Pelodiscus sinensis: one gene and its partner. The protein of the gene in region 2 purifies or fractionates together with the protein of the main gene of each other region. This does not show direct contact. Links are inferred from orthologs where the notes say so. Each region holds a gene or a part of one and is shown on either strand. Other genes may lie near its edges.

Region 1 (10,143 bases), on a different chromosome or scaffold from region 2:
TAGAAGAACTCTAATGAGGGGAGAAGCTATTAGACCCAGGTCAGGAAAAAGATCAACTCCGGCCTGAAGACCTTCATTTGCAATGAGGTCTAGGGTGACCAATTATGACTTGTGGTAATTTCTCTTAGTGTATTCAGTTTAGCTGGAATGTTTTGTTTGTTTTAGCTTAGTAATTTACTTTGATCTGTCTGTTATCATGTGCAGCCACTTAAATCCTACATTTTATACTTACTACCATCACTTTTGTTTATTATTAAACACAGTGTAAAGAATTGTTACTGAGGAGGAGGGAGCACAACAGCTGTGCATATCTCTCATTCATTGATTGGGGGGGGACTTTATAAGCTTACCATGTATAAAAGTTTTATACAGAAAAAGATGGATTTGTTTGAGGTTTTGGTCCCATTGGGGCTGTGCTTCTGGGTGCTGTCAAGTCCTTGTAACTGAGCCTCCTCCCAGAGCTGGGCTGTTCTCAGGGTCTATGTTACTCTGCTGTTACCCCCAACTCCGTGTCTTTGCTGGGGGAGACCAGAGCTTCTGGCTTAGCGGGACAGGGTGGTGGCGGTGCCCCAGAGGGTAGGTAGGCAGGCTCAGTGGTATGATCAGCCCATCAGGTGCCAATCTCAAGGGGATGTCTGTGATCTAACCCATCGGGTAGCTTGGACACTGAGAATGTTACCAGTGCACTGGGGTCTTCCTGGTAGTGCAGATGGACCACACCAGTAGCTCAGACAGGTATTACCTGCTCCACACATCTTGATGAGGCATTAACTCTGAAGCCTAAAGCAGGCAATTTCAATTTAAACATCAGTATTGTGAACTACGTTACTGCTGGTCACATTGAGCGAATGTGTTTATCCCACAACCCGGTGCTCCTTCCCAGTCCCTAAAACTCCAGCTGCATCTGCCAAAATCCCCAGGTTTCCCCTGACTTCCAGCCCCTGCCTTGCGGTCAGTACTGTCCCATGATCTGTTTATACTGAAAACTGGGAGTGTGGGCACAGCATAGCATTGGTGAGGCTATCCAGACCTCTTACTCAGAGATGACTGTATTTTCACATTGGAATCGCTTGAATTAAATAGCTTCAGGGGGTAGCCGAGTTAGTCTGTTACAGAAAAAAACAACAAATGGTCTGGTCACTGCTGCAGAACTTTGCATCCGTCACACTAGCGTGCAACAGAATCCACGGATTGAGGTGCATCTTGCCAGAGCACATAAGACTTCAAGTGTGACGTGTGGATTGTTGCATTTATTTTGCATGGGGGCATACTTGGGCCCTCAGGGGCATGAATGTTGCATCCTGTACAGAGAAAACTAGCTGCCTCATTTACACAAGTACCCTCCTTTTTTTTTTCCCCCTTTATAATACACCCCTACCTCGGTAACTTCCACTCCAGTGTATCTGATGAAGTGGATTTTACCCTTGAAATCTTATGCCCTAATACATCTGTTAGCGTCTAAGGTGCCAGAGGACTTCTTGTTGTTGCAGCTGCCTTGTAGTCTGTATGCAGCGTTAAGTGCCTATTAGATTGTTAGAAGCCTAGTGCAGCAGTACATTTTGTAACACTGGGGATTGTCTGGAGCTGAGAATCCCCTCTCTGACTGCTATTTGGGAGGCACTGCATTTTTATTGGAGGGTAGAAAGATGTTGAGAGGTTCTGTTAAACACAGGCCCCCTTTCCATAAGTGGAACAGGTTTTTTGTTTTGTTTTTTTATTACCCATTTCTGTGTAGTTATGGGTTCTGAACGCAGCCAGCTCTGAGTAGGTATAGACGTGGAAACTGAATTTTCAGCTATGCAATCTCTAAAAGTGACCTTGCAATTTTGATAGTCTTTTAATTTCAAGGTCTTTATCCCATCTGGAGTTTGGGTCTGTGTTGTGGCTTATTCTCTTGCTCGACCCTGCTTGATGGTTTAATCCTTCCCCATATAATCAACTCCTCCGTGTATGGTGATAGCAACCAGCACCTCCAGGCTTAGACACCGTTGTGCTAGGCCCTATACAAACCTAGCATGAAAAGATGGCCCTGTCAAGTTAGTCTAAAAAAATTCCTGTGTTTGGACATAGAACTGGATGAAATTTTGGTCAAAAATGCAGATCTGGGTCAACCAAAAATTTCATGAATCTGTCAGATTTGACCAGTTGAAAATGGGGTTGGGGAAAGGGAGGAGAAATCAATTTTGACTTTTTTTTAAACAAAACCTTTTGATTTGTTTGTTTTAAACAGTTTATTTGTTTTGAAGAATAATTGTTTTATTTAAAAAAGTAAAGAAAAAACAGCCCCTCCCTCTTCCCGTTAGTCAAAAAATGTTTTAGATTGAAATAATTGTTTAGTTTGACACCAACAGAGTTAGTTACTTTTAACGTTTTGGTTAGTGAACTGAAATATTGGCTACCTGCACCACTGGTGCTGGTAGATCTGTTTAGCATTACTTGATGTTTCTTCTTTTAAGGGACTCTTAATCAGTGTTCCCTCTAACCTTGTCCATCCATGGGCAGAATATTTTTTTTTTTTAATCTGTGCTGAGGCTCGTGCCTATGTGCATCACCAGTAGAAACAAAACCTAGCAGTGGGTGCTCTGCCAATCAGCTGTGTGGCTTTTGAGTGGCAACACAAGTGCCCAGCTTACAGGGAACACTGCTCTTAATTAAAGGATGTCAATATGTCGTTGACTATTGGATTAACTGAGAAGCCTAGGCTTATCAGTTAATTAATCTTGTTGACTACATGCATTCACCCTCCCCCCCCTTGCTGCCTCTGTATAAGAGGCAGCAAGGTGGGGAGCCAGTGCTAGGGGGGAGCCAGCTTAAAAGCTGGTTCCTCCCCAGTTCTGCATTGCTGCCTGCCCCCACCCCCTGCACTACCACTTCTGTCAGAGGCAGCAAGGGGAAGGGCAGGGGAGGTTGCCACAAAGCAGCCTCTGTCCATGGTGGGCCAAAGTCCACATCCCACGGAGCAGCCTCTGTCTGCAGTGAGCCTGGGCCCGCTGTGGGCAGAGGCTGCTTTGTGGTAGCAGTTCCTGTCCGCGGAGGGGCCAACCTAAGACCCCTCCCCCTCCACGGACGGTGCTGTTGCCACTCCGTGCTGCTGCCTCTCTATTAAGAGCGCGGTGCAGCAGGCAGCCGGTCTGCATGGGGAGCTGGCTTTTAAACTGGCTCCCCTCGGAGACTAACTCCCTCTGCCACCCTGTGCTGCTGCCTCTGATACAGACAGCAGTGCAGGGCCGCAGGGGGCTCCCTGGGAGTGGGTCTGGGAGCACACTGGCTGCCGGCCCTGCCACTGAGGACTATTGAATAATTGTGGAACTGCTAAGATTTCATGTGATTACACGATTGATTATTCAGTTATCTGCTATCTAGGATCCCTGCTCTTAATGTGTTTCCCTCCCAAACATTTAAGGGGTGGAAAAGGCACCCTTCTTACCATGCTAAAGTTGTTGGTGTTAAGGGGCTAACCATTACTACTCTTTCTGAGTCTTTCCAAAGCCTCTGCATCGTCCACATGTGTCTTCAATTATCCTTGATTAGGTATGAACCCTGTCTCAGTATTTCCAGAGGCATATTTGCTTGCAGTTATTTAGAAGGGATTGGTGGTGGAACAGGCCATTGTTGGGGGAGAAAGCTCTGTTTTAGATCACTACTGTGTTTAGAGTGTGCTCTTCCACTTATTGAGCGTTGACAATGTACACGAGGTAGCGTGGACTTTGACAGCCAAGAAGGCTGCAGTCTTGTCTACTGGTTAGAGCTGACTGGCAGGATGGCAACACCTTTTAACCCACCCGTGCCACAGTTTACCCATCTGAGAAATGTTGGATGCCTTACTCGCTCATGTGTTGGACATCACATGGCTTAAGTAACATTAAAAAACTTTAAAATACCTTTTGTTCCAGGGCCTAACTGCAGAGCAGTAAATGTTGGATGATGCATGTCAAGTTACTTTGCATCCTTTGTAGTGTAGGAGTCTGCAGAGCATTCAATCCTTTAGACTGGTAGTTTGTGACAATAGTATCCGTCTCACTAACTAAAGCATTGACTGAGACTCTTCTCAAGTTCTTCTCATTCACTAAGGTTGAAATTTTCTCAGCTTCATCCGGGCATTAGAAAGTAGATCCGGAGCGTCTGCCCATTGGCTCATAACACAAAACCAAGAGGACATTTAGTGAAATTGGATGTGTGAAATTCAAAGTGATTAAAAAAAATGCTTTTCACACTGGATGTAAACAGACAGTGGAATTCATTGCACAGGAAATTAAGGCCAAGAATTTGATAAGCTTCAAAGATGGATGGAACGATTACATGGTGTAAGAGAATGAGAGTTATAATGGTTATGGCTCAACGTTTGGGAAGGGATTCTAAACCCCATGCTTCAGGCTCATGTGAGTCTCCATGTCAGATTAGGATGAGCTCACGTGTGAAAGGCAGGTTATACCACATCTTCCTCTGGAATCCTCCACTGCAGGCCGATGTCAAAGACAAGACTGGATTAGATGGATCTCTGGTTGCATCCAGTTTGGCTGCTCCTGTTTTAAGAAACTTTAGAAATCTCAGCTCGAATCTATAGCCAGGGGATTTAACACTCTTCCACTCACCCCCCCACACACCTGACGAGAAAAAATCCTCTTTGGTCTTTCTGGGTTGGGGTTGCGGGTCCTTTTTTTGGGTTGAGGGTGCTGACCTATAGAAAAATCAGTTAGGGGCCACACATGAGTGAGAAGCGCGCAAACCACACCCCCAAAAAAACAACCTCTCACTGACATTGCCCCGACTGAGAAGGAGACAGACACTCCCTCTCCCTCCCCCATTCCTCTCACACACCAGAGGCTAGGGTGGCCTAGCCTACTAGATTTTGTGTGTTCCAGCTCTGTGGAGGGAGGGGGGAGCAGGAAGGGGGTTGGAGTGGCAGCACAGGTTCCCCAATGCAGGGGGGAGGAGCTGAGCCTCAGGGGTCGGATCTAGGCAAGCCGGGGGCCACATGCAGCCCTCAGGCCTCAAGTTCCCCACTCCTGCTATAAATGCTGCTTAAAATTAGAGCAATCTTGTTAAGCATGTAGAGTTGTCTCCATCTCTGACCTTTCTTCCTTTTGGTGCACATGGTCCAGCATTGTCCGCACAACTAGCGAACATTTCATGAGTGACTGAGGCACATCTTTCTATTCCTAGTGTAAGGTAAAGAAGGAACTTAGTGCACTCCCTTTCCCAGGCTGACTCATGGTGGAAACCAATAAAAGTTTGAATCAGGCACGTAAGTACGGGAACCGGAGTTGGCTTTGGTCAGTCTGGTTTGAGGGACCGGAGAGAATAAACATGTTTCGGCACCTGTTTTACATACAGGGGTGTAAAAATACTGCAGCTCCTGCTACCTCCGCCCCTTCCTTTATAGGCACTGTGATTTTTTTTTTTTTTTTTTATTTCTTTCTGCGATGCCACCCCCGAGGTCCTCCTTGTCGTCCTGGTATTGTAATGGAACAACGTTTCCACTATTTGTTGTAGTAATAGTTGTCAGAAGCACAGTAATTTGACTGTCACCTGCTCTATAAATAAATGCAAGCATCTTTCTCTCAGCGGACACGCACCCTGACCATAATCAGTGGTGTTGAAGTTGGCTTCCTTCAACATAACTACTGCAGGACTTGGTGCACCTTCCTCTTATTAATTTTAAACAAGATCTACAAGATCTTTGAGTCTTCTTCCCGCCCCCTCCACTGCATTGTTATTCATGGCAATCATTTGCTGTTCTTCGCTGCAGAAGCTGGCACTTGCCTGCTCCAAAAAGATTTAGTTTTATTGTTGACACAGTGTGGGCAAGATTGCAAGCTCTGGTAGGTAGGGTTGCCAGATGGTTGGAACAAAAATACCGAACTCTTCTCCCCCCCCCTCCAAAAAAAAACACCGAGAAAAAATTATGGGGGGGGGGGGGGGACCAAAGTTGTTGAGCAAAAAAAAAATGATTCCAAGACCATTTTGTGCCTTGCAGAACCAGATAAGCATGGGGGCTGGGGGTGTTTGGAACCGGGGAGGGTGGGGGGGAAGCAAGTTGCTTCTCAGTTTAAATCTCTGTGGTAGTCACAGAGATAGGATCACTGCTGGGGTTACCAGGTAGTCATTTAAAAAAACAAAAAAAAAAACCCAGACACTTCATGGGGGGAGGAGCAGGAAGTGGGAGGAGCAATGGGACTGGCTGAGGGAGATGCAGGAGGTGACGGGAAGCAGGGCTGGTTGGTGGTGGGGGGGGTCGGGCAGAATGGGGCTGGCCGCAGAATATTGGGGGGGGGGCGGTGGGGCAGAGCTGGCTGGGGGAGCTGAGGAGGAGGGGAAAACTGCACTTCTATGGCCTCCGTAACTGGCTCCCGTCCAGTTTCCTGTTTGACATCATGTGCTATTTCACGGCTGCAGCTTTTACAACTGCTCTCAAGTGTAATCTGAGCTGAAACGGGCCAACTTCAGCAGCTGCCTGTGGAGGAACTCTGTATGCTGCCATGTCTCTCTTTTCCTCTCGCGCACTCTTTTGCTGCGAAACTTAGAATGATCTAATTGCATCTAGTCCGTGCATGGGGTGTGGAGGGCAGGAAAGAGAGATCGGTGGAAAGGGCTGTTGAATACTTTGTACCATGCGTGCTTTTTTAAAATAAGCGGTACTCTTTGCAGCAAACGCTGTGGATCTTGCAGACATCCCCCCCCCGCTCGCTCCCTTCCACCAACTGCTTCAAGGCGTGCCGTTTCTGTTCTTCATTTCTGGGAATTGGAAACCATGGACAAGAAACAAGGTATATGTTGCAATTTCCAAAACACGTATCTGGGAGATCTAAAGAGCCATTCAAATGGCGAAAGGGGTTGTGGAACTTTTGTTATGTCATTCCGTGTGGTTTTGCTTTGTGTCCTTGCTCGGAGGGGCTCTCTATTTGTGGCCAGGTAGCTATTTTGAAAGCTAATGGAAACTTGCATGCATTGGGTTGCAATACCGGGTGTAGGTGCACAGGCCGGCATGAGGACAGAAAAATCTGCAGCTAAGCTTGTCTTTTTTCCCTCTTTTAAGAATTTGCCAAACACAACTCTGTGTGTGTTTTTGCACAAGTCCTGTTGCACTACAGTTGAGTGCCCAACTTGGAGCCTGCTGCTGTTCAGAGCTGAGATTCAGCATAGGTTAACAGGTGACTTTTTTTTTTTTTGGTCTGCAGTCGGCTCTGACTGGAAGGGGCTTTTTATGAACTGCTTTTTTCCTCCTCCTGGTTCACTGCTTGTGCCTTGTTTTCAACTTCTGCAAAAATGCAACAAAGCCAGCTTCTCATAGGAAATGCCCGGGGAGGGGGGGGGGGTGACCGACTCCACTCAGTGTTCTTTTTCCACTGCTTGGATTGCTCTCTTCAGGCTGCAGCATGGTGCAAATATTGCCCTGGCTTCTCTGCAGGGAGGCAACTCTTGTGTCTTTGCTTCACCTGGGCTTGAATAAAGACATTAAATGGATGTCCCATGATAATGCCAGACTTCCACACATTTAACGCCTCATTTACATCCAAAGTAAGTATGGAACACTCCCCGCCCACTCAGTCTCATTAGCACCGGCACTACAATTGACTGGTACCCCTCCCCCTTTCTTCTATTATAAATGCTGAGTTCCTGTCCCCCTCATCTGAAGTGGGTTTTGCCCATGAAAGCTCATGATACAATCTACGTATTTTGTTAGGTGCTGCTAGACGATTCATTGGTTTTTTTTAAAAGTTTTTACTATATACTTTGTTAGTCTCTAAGGTGCTACTCGTCTTTATGTGAGGAGATTGTCACCTGATCTGTTATCTTGCCTTTAAAGCAGACTGTTATCTTACTGTTCCTCCGTGGCTTGGATGGAACAGCGGGTTTCCCATCTAGCCACCTCCTTCTTTTGTGTGGTTTTTTTTTTTTTTTTTTTTTTTCATGCCCAAATCAGCAATCTGACAGAACAGAACGTGTTGGATGCAAAACCAAACCCTCTCGAGGTATCACTAACTTCCTTTCCCCCACCCTCAAGCCACCAGTCTTGTTAATGCTTCAGTTCTCTTCCCGGTTCCCCGTGTATGGTAGGGTTCTGTAGTGCTGCTGTCTTTCCTCTGCGCCGTGTCTGGGGCTGGCACATGGGAGTACAGAGGCTGTGAGGCAGCAAAGGTAGCATTTCAAAGGTCAGCTCAGTCAAATAGCTTTATTTACAGTTCTTAAGATTTTCCCTGCTCGGTTCCACCCACGTCAGCCCGTTGGGAGAGGTACCACACATACACGGAGGTCAAATTAAACCGCTCCAGGAAACACAGTTGTGGGCAGGGAGGATGTTAACTTTATCAAGGTTATGACAGGAGAAATTCAGTCAGTGACTTTTTCTAGGAAGGGAAATAGTTCCCCTCTCAGCATAAAGGGTGCAGAGATGCCGCTTTGGTGACGTACTGGGGACTGGAATTCTTTTTTACACAAGGAATTTGTGACCACTTTTCTCCTATACTGTTGCGACTAGTGGTAGGTCTACTCAGAGCAGCGTTCAAGGACATGGTCGTCAGCATGCCCGTTCCTTATTTGCAATGATGGTTTTCTGTCGGTAGCATCAGAGAACACTTTACTGGTGGTCCCTAAGGCAGCAGGTAATGAGGGCCTGGCTGCTGGACAGTTTCTCTGGAGCTGGCAGAATTAGATGAGGCTCACGAACCTTTTGAGCTCTGCTTCCCTGAAATCACATCACTCTCAGTGTGTCTAAACTACATCCCTCTGTCGAAAGAGGGATGTAAATTGGGCAAATCAAAAGTGCAAATGAAGCAGAGATTTAAATATCCCACGCTTCATTTGCATAATTGCATCACAGCGCTTTTTAGAAAAAGGGTATTTCTAAAGTGATACTGGAATTTGATGACCTCTTACTGTCATGTGATTCAGCTTGTTGCAACGGGGCAGCATTTTGAAAGCAATACGATGACACTCTGATGATGCAACACAGTGATGCTCTGTTGCAACGTGATGTTTTGCAGCACCGTGACCATGTTCTGACACGGTTCAGCTCCCTTTTTGCCTCGTCCCAGTGCCGCTTTGATGCTCAGCAGCAGTGTTTTGCTGAGAGGCAGCCGTGTTTGGGGATTATGCCTAGCACTTTTGGACGTGGCACGGTCACATTTTGCTGCAACGTGGTACTGATCTGCCATAGTGGACGGGCCAGGAGGGGGGGAGTTGACTTGTCTTAGGCCACGTTTTCGCATGGCACGTGGCCACTGTTGCACCAGGCTGGCTACGGTGCAATGTGCTAGCTGATCTTGCCCCCTTGGACCAGCCTCCCTGTGGTGGATGAGTGACTATCTGGGGTCAGGAACCGGGTCCTTTGTGGAATTTTGGGTAGAATTTTCGGGTCCCCGCCCCTCAGCCTCCAGTCTGGAGGTCAGCACCCTGTGGCTCAGGAGGGCGTGGCTACGGCGACAACGCCCCCTTCCCTGCAGGGACCCAATAGCGATCGAGTTCCAGCTGCGGAGGCGTGGCTGTCTGCGCTCCGCCCAGCTGCTTGCCTCATCAGTCCCGGGCTGAGTTTCTTGCTGTGCGCCAGCCGGGGACATGCTCCAGCCCCCGGCCTCCGCCAGCGCCTAACCCCGCTCAGCGCAGCAACCGGCCCGCGCCAGCCCCGAGACCAGCCATGTCCCTCCCCAGAGGTAGGAGAGCTGGGGGGAGGGCGGTTTCTCTCCAGCTGCAGCCCCTCGCCGGGTTACGGGCTGTGGGTCTCCCGGGGGTCCCCCCTGCCCTGTGCTCTGCTTCTGGGTTACAGCCTGGGGGCGGGCTCCCCTTTGTGGATTCCCCTTCCTGGTTACGGGATTCTCCTGCCCTCATTGCGGGTGATGGGCTGGGGGTCCCCCCATGCGTTGCTCATGGGGGGCTCCCTTGCCGTGCAGAGTTGTGTCTGGGGGTTCTCCTTGCAGTTCCCCTTACAGGTGGCTGCAGACCTTCCTGGAGCCAGCTTCCTGGGCTGGGTATAGTCTGTCTTTCACCCGCTGCCCCATCTGCATTCATTGTAGAGCCGAGGCGCCCTGCCAGCCTGCTCTCTGGTTCTCCTCCTTCCTTACAGGGCTGCCCAGCCTGCGGCCGGTTCACCTAAACTCCTCTCCCCACCTCCTCATCCCCTGTAACTGCATGGTGTTTATATTGGCT
Region 2 (9,200 bases):
GGCTCTGAAGGAGGCATACAATGGCAAAAAAACATTCCTTTCCCTTGGCAGCCACTAAGTTTTTGGTGAGTAAAGTAAAAAAAACAAAGAGCCTTTCCCACAAGCCAGAAGTGGGTGGAATTTCAAATTATAAGACATCTTGCATCCAGAGCAGGGCGGTAACAAAGGCGGAGCAAGTGGGGAACTCGCCCCAGGAGCATCATAATCAGGAGCACTAAAAGTAAAAATAAGCAGCTGCAAAGGTGAAGAGTGTGATGCATGCTAACATAAGGAGAGGGGGTGCATAATTAATATTTTGCCCTGGGTGCAAAAATACCTAGTTACGGTGCTGATTAAGAAGCTGATACAGAAGACGGTGAACTACAGAATGGTTCAGAGATACCATTCTACGAGGATGCAGGGGATGGGATTTGAGCAGAGAATTACCTAGGAGCTCACTTGTGCTCTCCCATTCCTATTTTTCATACGTACTTATAGACAACAAGCACCTATTAACTGAGTTAGTAAACCTAAGGAGTTTTTTTAAAGCTAGATCTTAAAAATAAAGCAGGTTAGAGATGCATGTCCCCATGGACAGTATTTGGCTTTGCAGCTATATAGAGGCAGAATGCCATGGTAAAATTCACAATACTTTTATTAAATTTGTGTAAATTATGGCAAAGAAAGAAAAGCAATGTCTTTATATTTACACAGCTTTGCTCAAAAGCCACTTAAGCAAGCAAAAAAAGCATTACCTAAGCGTGCAATTATGCTATTATGTCAGAGTTCTAACTGCCAGAACAAAAGGAGCTCATGGTAAAGTCTGGTCTCCCATCAAAAGAGTTCGTTCCTTGAGCTTCTGATGCCAAACCTAATATAATCTGAATTTAAAACCTTGATGCAGGCACATGTAGCTGAAGGGAAAATGAATATACCACAGTAGAGCCATAAACACAGGAGTCTATTGATAGCCCTACTAGGGATGTACGGGTATGTCTACACTACCACCCTAGTTTGAACTAGGATGGTTAATGTAGGCATCTGAAGTTGCAAATGAAGCCCGGGATTTAAATATCCCGGGCTTCATTTGCATCTTGCCGGGCGCCGCCATTTTTAAATCCCCGTTAGTGCGGACTCCGTGCCCGTGGCTACACGCGGCACGGAGTAGGTAGTTCGGATTAGGCTCTCTAATACTGCATTTTTACAAATAATAAGAAAAAGTTATTTTAAACATTTTAACTAATGTGTTCCAAACACATACAGATCTGGTCAAAACTTAGCTCCAAATTCTCTCTCTCCTTTTGTAAAGAGCATTTAATATGATCATTCTGGTTCTATAAAGTCTTTACAAATCTGATAGGCCATTGCTATTTCCCTTCCCCAACGCCCCTCCCATTTACCTTACCTATTTGATAACATGAAGCTCTCAGGCTCTGTGGCCTTGCCAGACTGACTGCAGCCAAGTAACTTAGTGAATACACTGCCAGCAAGTCAAACATGGTCCCAGTAGCAAACTTGAAACTATGTAAATCAGGATAGAGGACAGAATTCAGAGACTTTCTTGGCAACTGTTACACTCCGTATACATAGTTCTGTTTAATCCCAGCTGTCTTAAATAGTTTATCCAATTGATATATGACACAGTCTCTTCCAAACATATGAAGACTATCCCAAGTTTTGGGTCCACATAAAGAAGATGTTGAAATATTCACATTGGACTTTATTTTCAAAAGTGCTGAAATCAAGCGGAAGTAAATGGGAACTGCAAGAGCTCAGTACAGTGAGAGAGGGGAAAAAAAACACTACAGGCAGTCCCCGGGTTACGTACAAGATAGGGACTGGAGGTTTGTTCTTAAGTTGAATTTGTATGTAAGTCGGAACTGGTACATATTGTAGGGGAAACTCTAGCCAAACATTTCTCCAGAGCTCAGTTTTATTCTCCCATACCTCACTTCCCTCAGTCCTTTATTCTCAAGCTGAGGTGTCTGCTGAGAAAAGCCGCTCCGCGTCTCCGTGGTCTGCTGGGGGGAAGCAGCTAGTGCGGGGTTGCCTCACCCCGTTTGTAAGTAGGGATACGATGTAAGTCGGATCCATGTAACCTGGGGACTGCCTGTATATGTATATTTGAAAATGGTGGTTCCCAAACTGAGCTCTGTAGCAAGACAACCAGAGCTCCAAAAAGTGCTACCTGGTGGTGCGGGCAGAGCTAGAATTAGTTCCTTTTAGAATTAGTTCCTTCTTTCCCCCCAAATAACATTAAAGGAAACTAATGTATTTTAGCTGCTCCTTTTTTCCATGTAAACAATGTAGTTGTCTGAGGGATATTACCTAAATACCAATGGAAGGGGCTGTAGTCCAAGAAATAGCCTCTTTGTCAAGACATGGGACAAACCACAAGAGTGTCTAAGAATCTGTTTTAAACTATACTGCCATTTTACAGCTCAATAAAAGAACAACAACAACTAGAAAAGACTTGTAGCATTCTAAATTTTATGTTAGGCCCTCATCATGTAGTTATATCAGGCAGATGTACTCCCATCCTTAGTCACATCCAGAGCCCTGTTGACTCCACCTCAGTGGAATCTGCAAAATTAAGAGAGAGACTCACCTAATACAGAATCAATGAGGACTGAGAAAATTGGGAGACAAGCGCTAAAATGAGAGGCGCAACTAACACTGTATGGCAGAGACTGAGACAGATACACACCTTCTACCCCAATGTCCCAACTACCAAGAAGTGCAAGAAACCTATTTCTTCAAAGTGTCAAGAATCACAGAAAACATCTGAGAGGAAAAAGTGGGCCTGACCCTGTGTTTGAGGTTCCATTTTCTGGTAATGATGGATGGTCCAGAAAAATGGAACCTCAAGCACAGTGTGTAACCCTAATCTGAGAGAGATATGCCTACCTCTATCAAGGGAAAGGGAGTCCAGGGGAAGCTGCTTGTCTTTTGCTTACATGAGTAGTAACCTTTGCACAGCATGTCATCCCAACAAAGTGCCACTGACATATGAACAAAAGAGGAAGTAACTGACACACTACAGCAGCAGGAACAAACCTGTGTCTCTATGGACTATATAGATTAGCTTCCGTCTACCCTTGGGCAGGGATGACAGATTGCACCCCAGAATGTCACACCCAGCAAAACAGATCCTAGGGTGACAACCCCCACCGCCACTGCCCAGCTGTTGTGAAGAGCGCCCCTGGGTGGGAGGCAAGGAGCCAGGCAGGGGAAGGAAGCCGAGCGAGAGGCTGTGGGGTCGCTCACCTGCGTTGTAGAAGCGGTCCAGCACCGTGGTCTCTCCGAAGTCCAGCTCAGCGAAGTGCACGGTCTCCAGGGAGGCCCCGACAGCCTCGCACGCCTCCCGCAGGCTCTGCAGGGCCCCGCTCTCCGCCGCCGCCACCAGCAGCAGCCCCTGGCTCTCCTCGTTGATCACGTAGGACACCGTGGTCCTCCGGGTGCTGCCGCCCTTAACCCGGCCTCCTGTCCCTGTCCCCGCAGGGCAAGCAGCGCCGCTGTCCTCGTTCCAGTAGGTGCCGGCTGGCGGCGCGGACAGGAGGCTCCGGGCGCCCCCGTCTGCCCCCGGCGCCGCTCTCCGGCTGAGCCCGTCTTCGTGGGGGCAGGCGCTGCCCGGCGGGCTGGGCACCGAGAAGCTGATGCCCTCGCTGCTGTCGCTCATCCCTGCGGGGCGCCGTGCCCTGGGCTCTGCTGGTGCCGCCGGGGCTACGGCGCTGCCATGCCGCGCCGCCCGCCGCGCTCGCCCTGCCCCGTCCCTGCCCGCCGCCGGCTCCTACAGGCAGCAAGCGACCCCCACTCAGCGGCTGCCGAGCTCGAGCCGAGCCGGGAGGGCAGCGCAGTCTCCTGGGGCGCCCGCCAAGGGCACCATCGCGCGGGGCTGGCTTCACCTGCGGGGCAGCGGCCACCTGGCGAGCGCGCTGCAGGGCACAGCCTCTTCCCGCAGCCCCTCGCACTCGCTCTTCCTTCGCCTGCCTCCCGCCGCTCCGACCAGCCGCCAAACCACTTGTGGGATCGCCGCTCCTCAGCCTCGCCGCTTCATCCAGCTTGGATGGCTGCACCCACAGAGCAGCAGCCCTGCCAGTAGCCGCCCGGCTCCTCCCTTAGTCCCGCCCCTGGGCCTGGCTGCATTCCTGCGCTCGCGGCGGCTCTGGCCGCGCCAAACTTTCGCTCAGGCTTGGTGCGCGACGCTGGCTCCCTCTATGGCTCCTACCAGCTGTTGATTCGCTTTTTCCCTGCACGGCGCCCTCTGCTGCTCTCTTGTAGGCGGCTCCGTTAGGTTAGCTGCGTGGGGGTGGCTCCTCAAGAGATCTTAGCGTCTCAATGCGAGTATTAACAAAAAATCAAATGCAGTGGACGCTATCAATGGTTAGTTTTATATTTATCAATGTAAATTTTAGGAAATGTATGGGAGGGAGGTCAGCCAATAATTATTTAATACTAGAAAATGATTAAAAAACAACGAATGATCCTGCAGCACCTTATACCTACACTGGCAGGTTCTTGGCAAGAACTCTTGTGCAAGAACACGTCCACACTGCCATATGCTTTTTGCGCAAGAGTGTCCATGGCAGTGTGGATGCTCTCTTCCGCAAGAAAGCTCTGATGGCCATTTTAGCCATAGGGTTTTTTTGCGCAAGAAACCCCGGCCGTGCATCCATACTGCCCTCTGGCGCAAAAGCTCTTGCACAAGAGGGCTTACATTTGTTAGAAAAGAGCATAGCTCTTGTGCAAGAAGCCCTCTCCTCCCAAGCTTCACTGTAAATCTTCTTGCGCAAGAGCGGGCAGGCAGTGTGGACTCTCTGCACAAGAATGGCCGTTCTTGCACAAGTACCCGGCAGTGTACACATAGCCTTAGAGTCTAACAAAAATATATATAGTATAGTATATGATGACATTCAAAAAGTGAAAACTTATAATCATGAAAACCCATATTGTCAAACTCACATATCACAATATACAAAGTAACATTCTCAAGCAATATTTTTCTTATGTTATCTAGCTGTAAATTTTGTCAGAATGGATGACAATTTTTTTCAGGGTGTGTTTGTGAACAGTAAAATCAACATTTACTGCTTGAATATTGACCCTTACAAGCAAAGAGGTTTCCAAATATCCCGTGCTGTGTGTATCATCTGGAACTACTATTCCTTTCAGCTTTGAAAAAGCTAAGGAACTAGCTGACACCTCAGAAACTCTGTTGACTCACGCTGTCTCCCAAGACAGACATTTCCCTCCCCTCCATATATACCTTTGTATTCACCTTAATCCTTTTCTTGTAAATTCTCTCTAACTGAATCATGAAAACAAGCTTAAAAATATAGTAATTTTTTTGAGACTTGCTTAAAGAGGCAGACAGCTAGGTCTCACAAGTTTAGTGGTTAAAAAAGTTCTACAATAAGCTAATAGAAATACAGTTTAAATCAAAGAAGACACCTTAGAGAAGTGCATTTTTATCTGAAGGTATGCATTTCCCTCCATCTTTCTAGTCTGTAAACTTTGAAGCATAGAGAGAATCCAGTGTAAGAGAACCTGACTATATCAGAAAGTTAAACTAATTAATCTTCTTTCCTTGTTCACACTGAATGCACAGCAAAAAGTCAACAACTAACATGCAAGTGCCAATAATACTTTTCACTTGTAGCAGTTTTTCACTGTCCATACAAGTGTATATATGTAAAAATCACGATTAATCGTATGTGCCTCCTCTTTGAAACGCCGCTGCGGCATTTCAACAGGGCAGCACTGCATGGAGGATCAGCTAGAGTCCCCAGCTGACCCTGGGCTCTATGCAGCACTTCCCCTTTGAAGCGTCGGGGCAGCGTTTCCAAGGGGCAGCTCAAGGCGGAGCCCAGGATCAGCTGGAGTGCGCAGCTGATCTCCGGTAGGGACGTTAAAGACTAGTCGACTATCCGATAAGCAAGTCAATTTCCCCCCTTTGATGCCTCCATAAGATAGAGGGGAGGGGGTTCTTCAAAGTGGCAGCACCACGTAGCTGTGCGGCGCTGCCGCTTTGAAACCCCAATGTGGCATTTCAAAGGGGCAGTCATGGAGCCCGGGGCCAGCTGGGGACTGCCCAGCTGATTCTGGGCTCTGTGTGGCAGCAGAATCTGGGGTCAGCTGGGGGCTCCCAGCTTATCCTGGGCTCCCCGCGGCAGCAGAACCCGGGGTCTGGGGAAATTCTGCACAGAGCCCAAGATCAGCTGAAGAATCCCCAGCTGACCCCAGACCCCAAGGCTGCCCCTTTGAAATGTGCACAGAGACGAATCCCGGGCTCCACACAGCATTTCCCCAGGCTCCGGGGTCATCTGGGAAGAACCTGGTCAGCTGATCCTGGGCTCAGGGGAAATGCCCTGCGGAGCCGAGATCAGCTGGGGAGTTCCCAGCTGACCCCCGGCTCCACTGCACCTTTGAAACACATGGAGGTGGCATTTCTAAGGGGCAGCCACCGCACAGCTGATTCCCAGCTCAGCTGAGACGCAGCTGCCCCTTTGAAACACCACCTCTGTGCCTTTCAAATGGGCAGTGGAGACTGGGGTCAGCTGGGGAGTAGAAAGAGGTGTACCGATGTCAAAAAATCCCTCTGTTTTTTCAATTTTTTTTCAAAAGAATTTGATTGCAGTGTGGACATAAGTGAAGGGGTTTTTTTTTCAGAAAAACTACCGTTTTTACGAAAAAACTCTGTAGTGTAGATATACCCTGAGCCTTGCCTGCAGCCTTCAACACTGCTGAATTTCTAGTCCATGGACAACAAGACATGAAACTGACCAGAAACAGAGTCTGAAACTGACTAATCCACACTCACCCTCCAGGAAGGGATACATACAAAGAGCAGACAACACAAGTATGAAACAGAGTTTTTAAACATTAACAGTTTTGAAAACTATCTGGTGTGTTAGAAAGACAGTGAATGCATTATAAATGTTTGGGGACAGATTTAGCAGCAATCTCTGTCAGCACAAAATAGCTGAAGACCCGGTTTGGCTGGCTGGTTAAAGCTAATATTCATACCTTCACACACACACACAGGTTGTACAAGTACATGAGTAGCTTAAACAGAACCTGCATAGCATAAGCTTTCCTTTGACATCTCACATGGCCCACTTTGTACCCAATTTGGGGCAAACACACACCAGTGTGTACAGTAACTGTCTGCCTACTCACATTAAAACCCAATAATGTGACACTGAGCTAAAGGAAAATCCCTGAAAGAGATCTGCTGATCACATGGAAAGTTACTGAACCCAGCTTTACTATTCTCCCCATTTTACAGATGGAGAATCTAGGCCCAGGGAGATTAACTGATTTGTTCAAAAATCACAGGGGAAGTCTGTGATGAAATATAGAGCCAGGAATTGAATCCAGGAGTCTAACCTCACCTTCCTCTCTAATCCCACTTGACATATGCTGCCAGCCAACTCACATCAGTTCTGATCAAAAAAACACTATCAGATCACAGCAGAGACTGTAGTTCAAAGTATTTCACTTCCCTTGCTGCTGGAAGTTATCTCTTTGGATTAGAGATTCCTACCTGCTTTTCTTGCAATAAACCTGGCAGCTAGCCATTTTTCTAAGGGCTAAATGCTACATAGTTGGGCAATGAACCTGTGGGGTTGTGGTAAATAGCATGGGGCATCATCAAGCTACTTTGTGATCCTGAGCAAATCTTTCAATGTTGCTTGGGAGTTTGTCCCGGGAAATTGGAACCTTAATTTCTAGATGGAACATGCCTGCCACCTTCTGGTAATTTCTCATTAGGGTGTTTTTTGTTTTGGGCTTTTTTGGTTGTTTTGTTTTTGGTTGGTTGGTTTACTTGTTTTCATTGTTGAAATACTGCTGAATCTGTTTTAGGTATTTCTATATAAAACATGCTTGTTAGTGGCTGTGCTTCCTGAAGTTAAGCAAAAGCTTTTGTTGACTTTTAGATAGCTAAGGAACCAGTTCTTGATATACACATCTTTTCACAGATTGGGAAGAGGAAAGCGGGAGTGTTTTTTACTAGTTTTATATCTCCTCTTTCTGTTGAAAAGTACTTTTTGCTTTACTTGGTTTGATATTGAGTAATATGTTTCGTTTCAAAGTGCAAGGAGAGGGGGCAATGGAAGCTGAGATGATTGTGCTGGGAGTGGGGACAGTGTGCAAAGTCTCTTCCCTCCCCAATGCATGGCACAGAGAGGCACATGGAACAGCCAGCCGTTTTGACTACACTTATGTCCACACTGCAATTGTGTTCTTTCAAGAGAAAGTCAAAAGAACGCAGGAGTTTTTCTGACAGTGGTAAACCTCTTTCTATGAGGAAGCAGCCTTTTTGTGAAAGAGCTTTCAGAAAAAAGCATGTGTGGATGGGGAAGAGGGGTTTGTTCGTTTTTTAGAAAGAAGAGGCATCCAGGAAAAAGCATAGGTGCCCAGATGACCATTCCGTCCATAGTAATCACAACTTAAATGCGAGATAGCGTCCAATGAATGTGGACGCTATCTTTTGAAAAAGCAGATCGTTTTTTCAATGCGCTTTTGCTGTGTGGATGCTCTCTTTCGAAAGAAGTTTTTCTGGAAGATCTCTTCCGGAAAAGCTTCGTCTAAAAGAAGCCTACACTCTAGACATAGACCCTGAGGGTCCCTCTGGGCTACTGGCTGGGAGCCACCTAGGTAAGTGCCTCCCTCTGGAGGCGGCATCTGGTACCCCACCCCTCCATGCTGCCCCAGGTCACCATGCCCTCCTGCCCCAGGTCACCATCCAAACCCTCTGCACTTCCCTCCACCAGACCACAACTCCCTCCCAGACCCTACATCCCCTCAAACATCCCTCCCCAGGTCAGAATCCTCTCCTGCACCCTTACCACCTCCTAGGCTCTGCACCCCAATCTCTTGTCCCAAGTCACAACCCCCTACTCCACTCAAACTCCCTTCCAGACCCCTCTCCTGTAACCCAGTCCCCTACCCCAACCTCCCTTCTGCACCCAACCTCTGTCCCAGACTCTGCATCCCTGCTATAGAAAAATGTGGCCCTTGACCACTTACCAAAATCTTTTGAATGGCTCCCTATCAAAAATCATTGCCCACCCCAGATCTAGAGGTTGATCATGCTTCTGAGATGTACAAACAGATCTTTTTATTTCACAGGAAAATGGGGCACAGTGAAATCATCTGGACTTGTGGAAACCATTTTGTATGATCTGGGGTTTAAGACTATGGTCAGGATGAAGACA

Evidence for each region.
Region 1: the proteins of MAP3K5 (region 2) and MAP2K3 purify together in Homo sapiens (co-immunoprecipitation; 4 studies listed by BioGRID and IntAct, with this or other methods). This does not show direct contact. The link is inferred for Pelodiscus sinensis from reciprocal best matches to the Homo sapiens genes MAP3K5 and MAP2K3.

The regions. Positions count from the first base shown.
Region 1 is NC_134726.1:32,412,785-32,422,927, reverse strand, and holds the start of MAP2K3 (dual specificity mitogen-activated protein kinase kinase 3), read left to right. Parts: upstream 1-6,142; 5' UTR 6,143-6,171; coding exon 6,172-6,199; intron 6,200-6,265; exon of another isoform or gene 6,266-6,648; coding exon 6,649-6,767; intron 6,768-7,177; exon of another isoform or gene 7,178-9,634; coding exon of another isoform or gene 9,635-9,650; intron 9,651-10,143. UniProt on the Homo sapiens protein: Dual specificity kinase. Is activated by cytokines and environmental stress in vivo. Catalyzes the concomitant phosphorylation of a threonine and a tyrosine residue in the MAP kinase p38.
Region 2 is NC_134713.1:97,631,335-97,640,534, forward strand, and holds the start of MAP3K5 (mitogen-activated protein kinase kinase kinase 5), read right to left. Parts: upstream 4,209-9,200; 5' UTR 3,659-4,208; coding exon 3,247-3,658; intron 1-3,246. UniProt on the Homo sapiens protein: Serine/threonine kinase which acts as an essential component of the MAP kinase signal transduction pathway. Plays an important role in the cascades of cellular responses evoked by changes in the environment.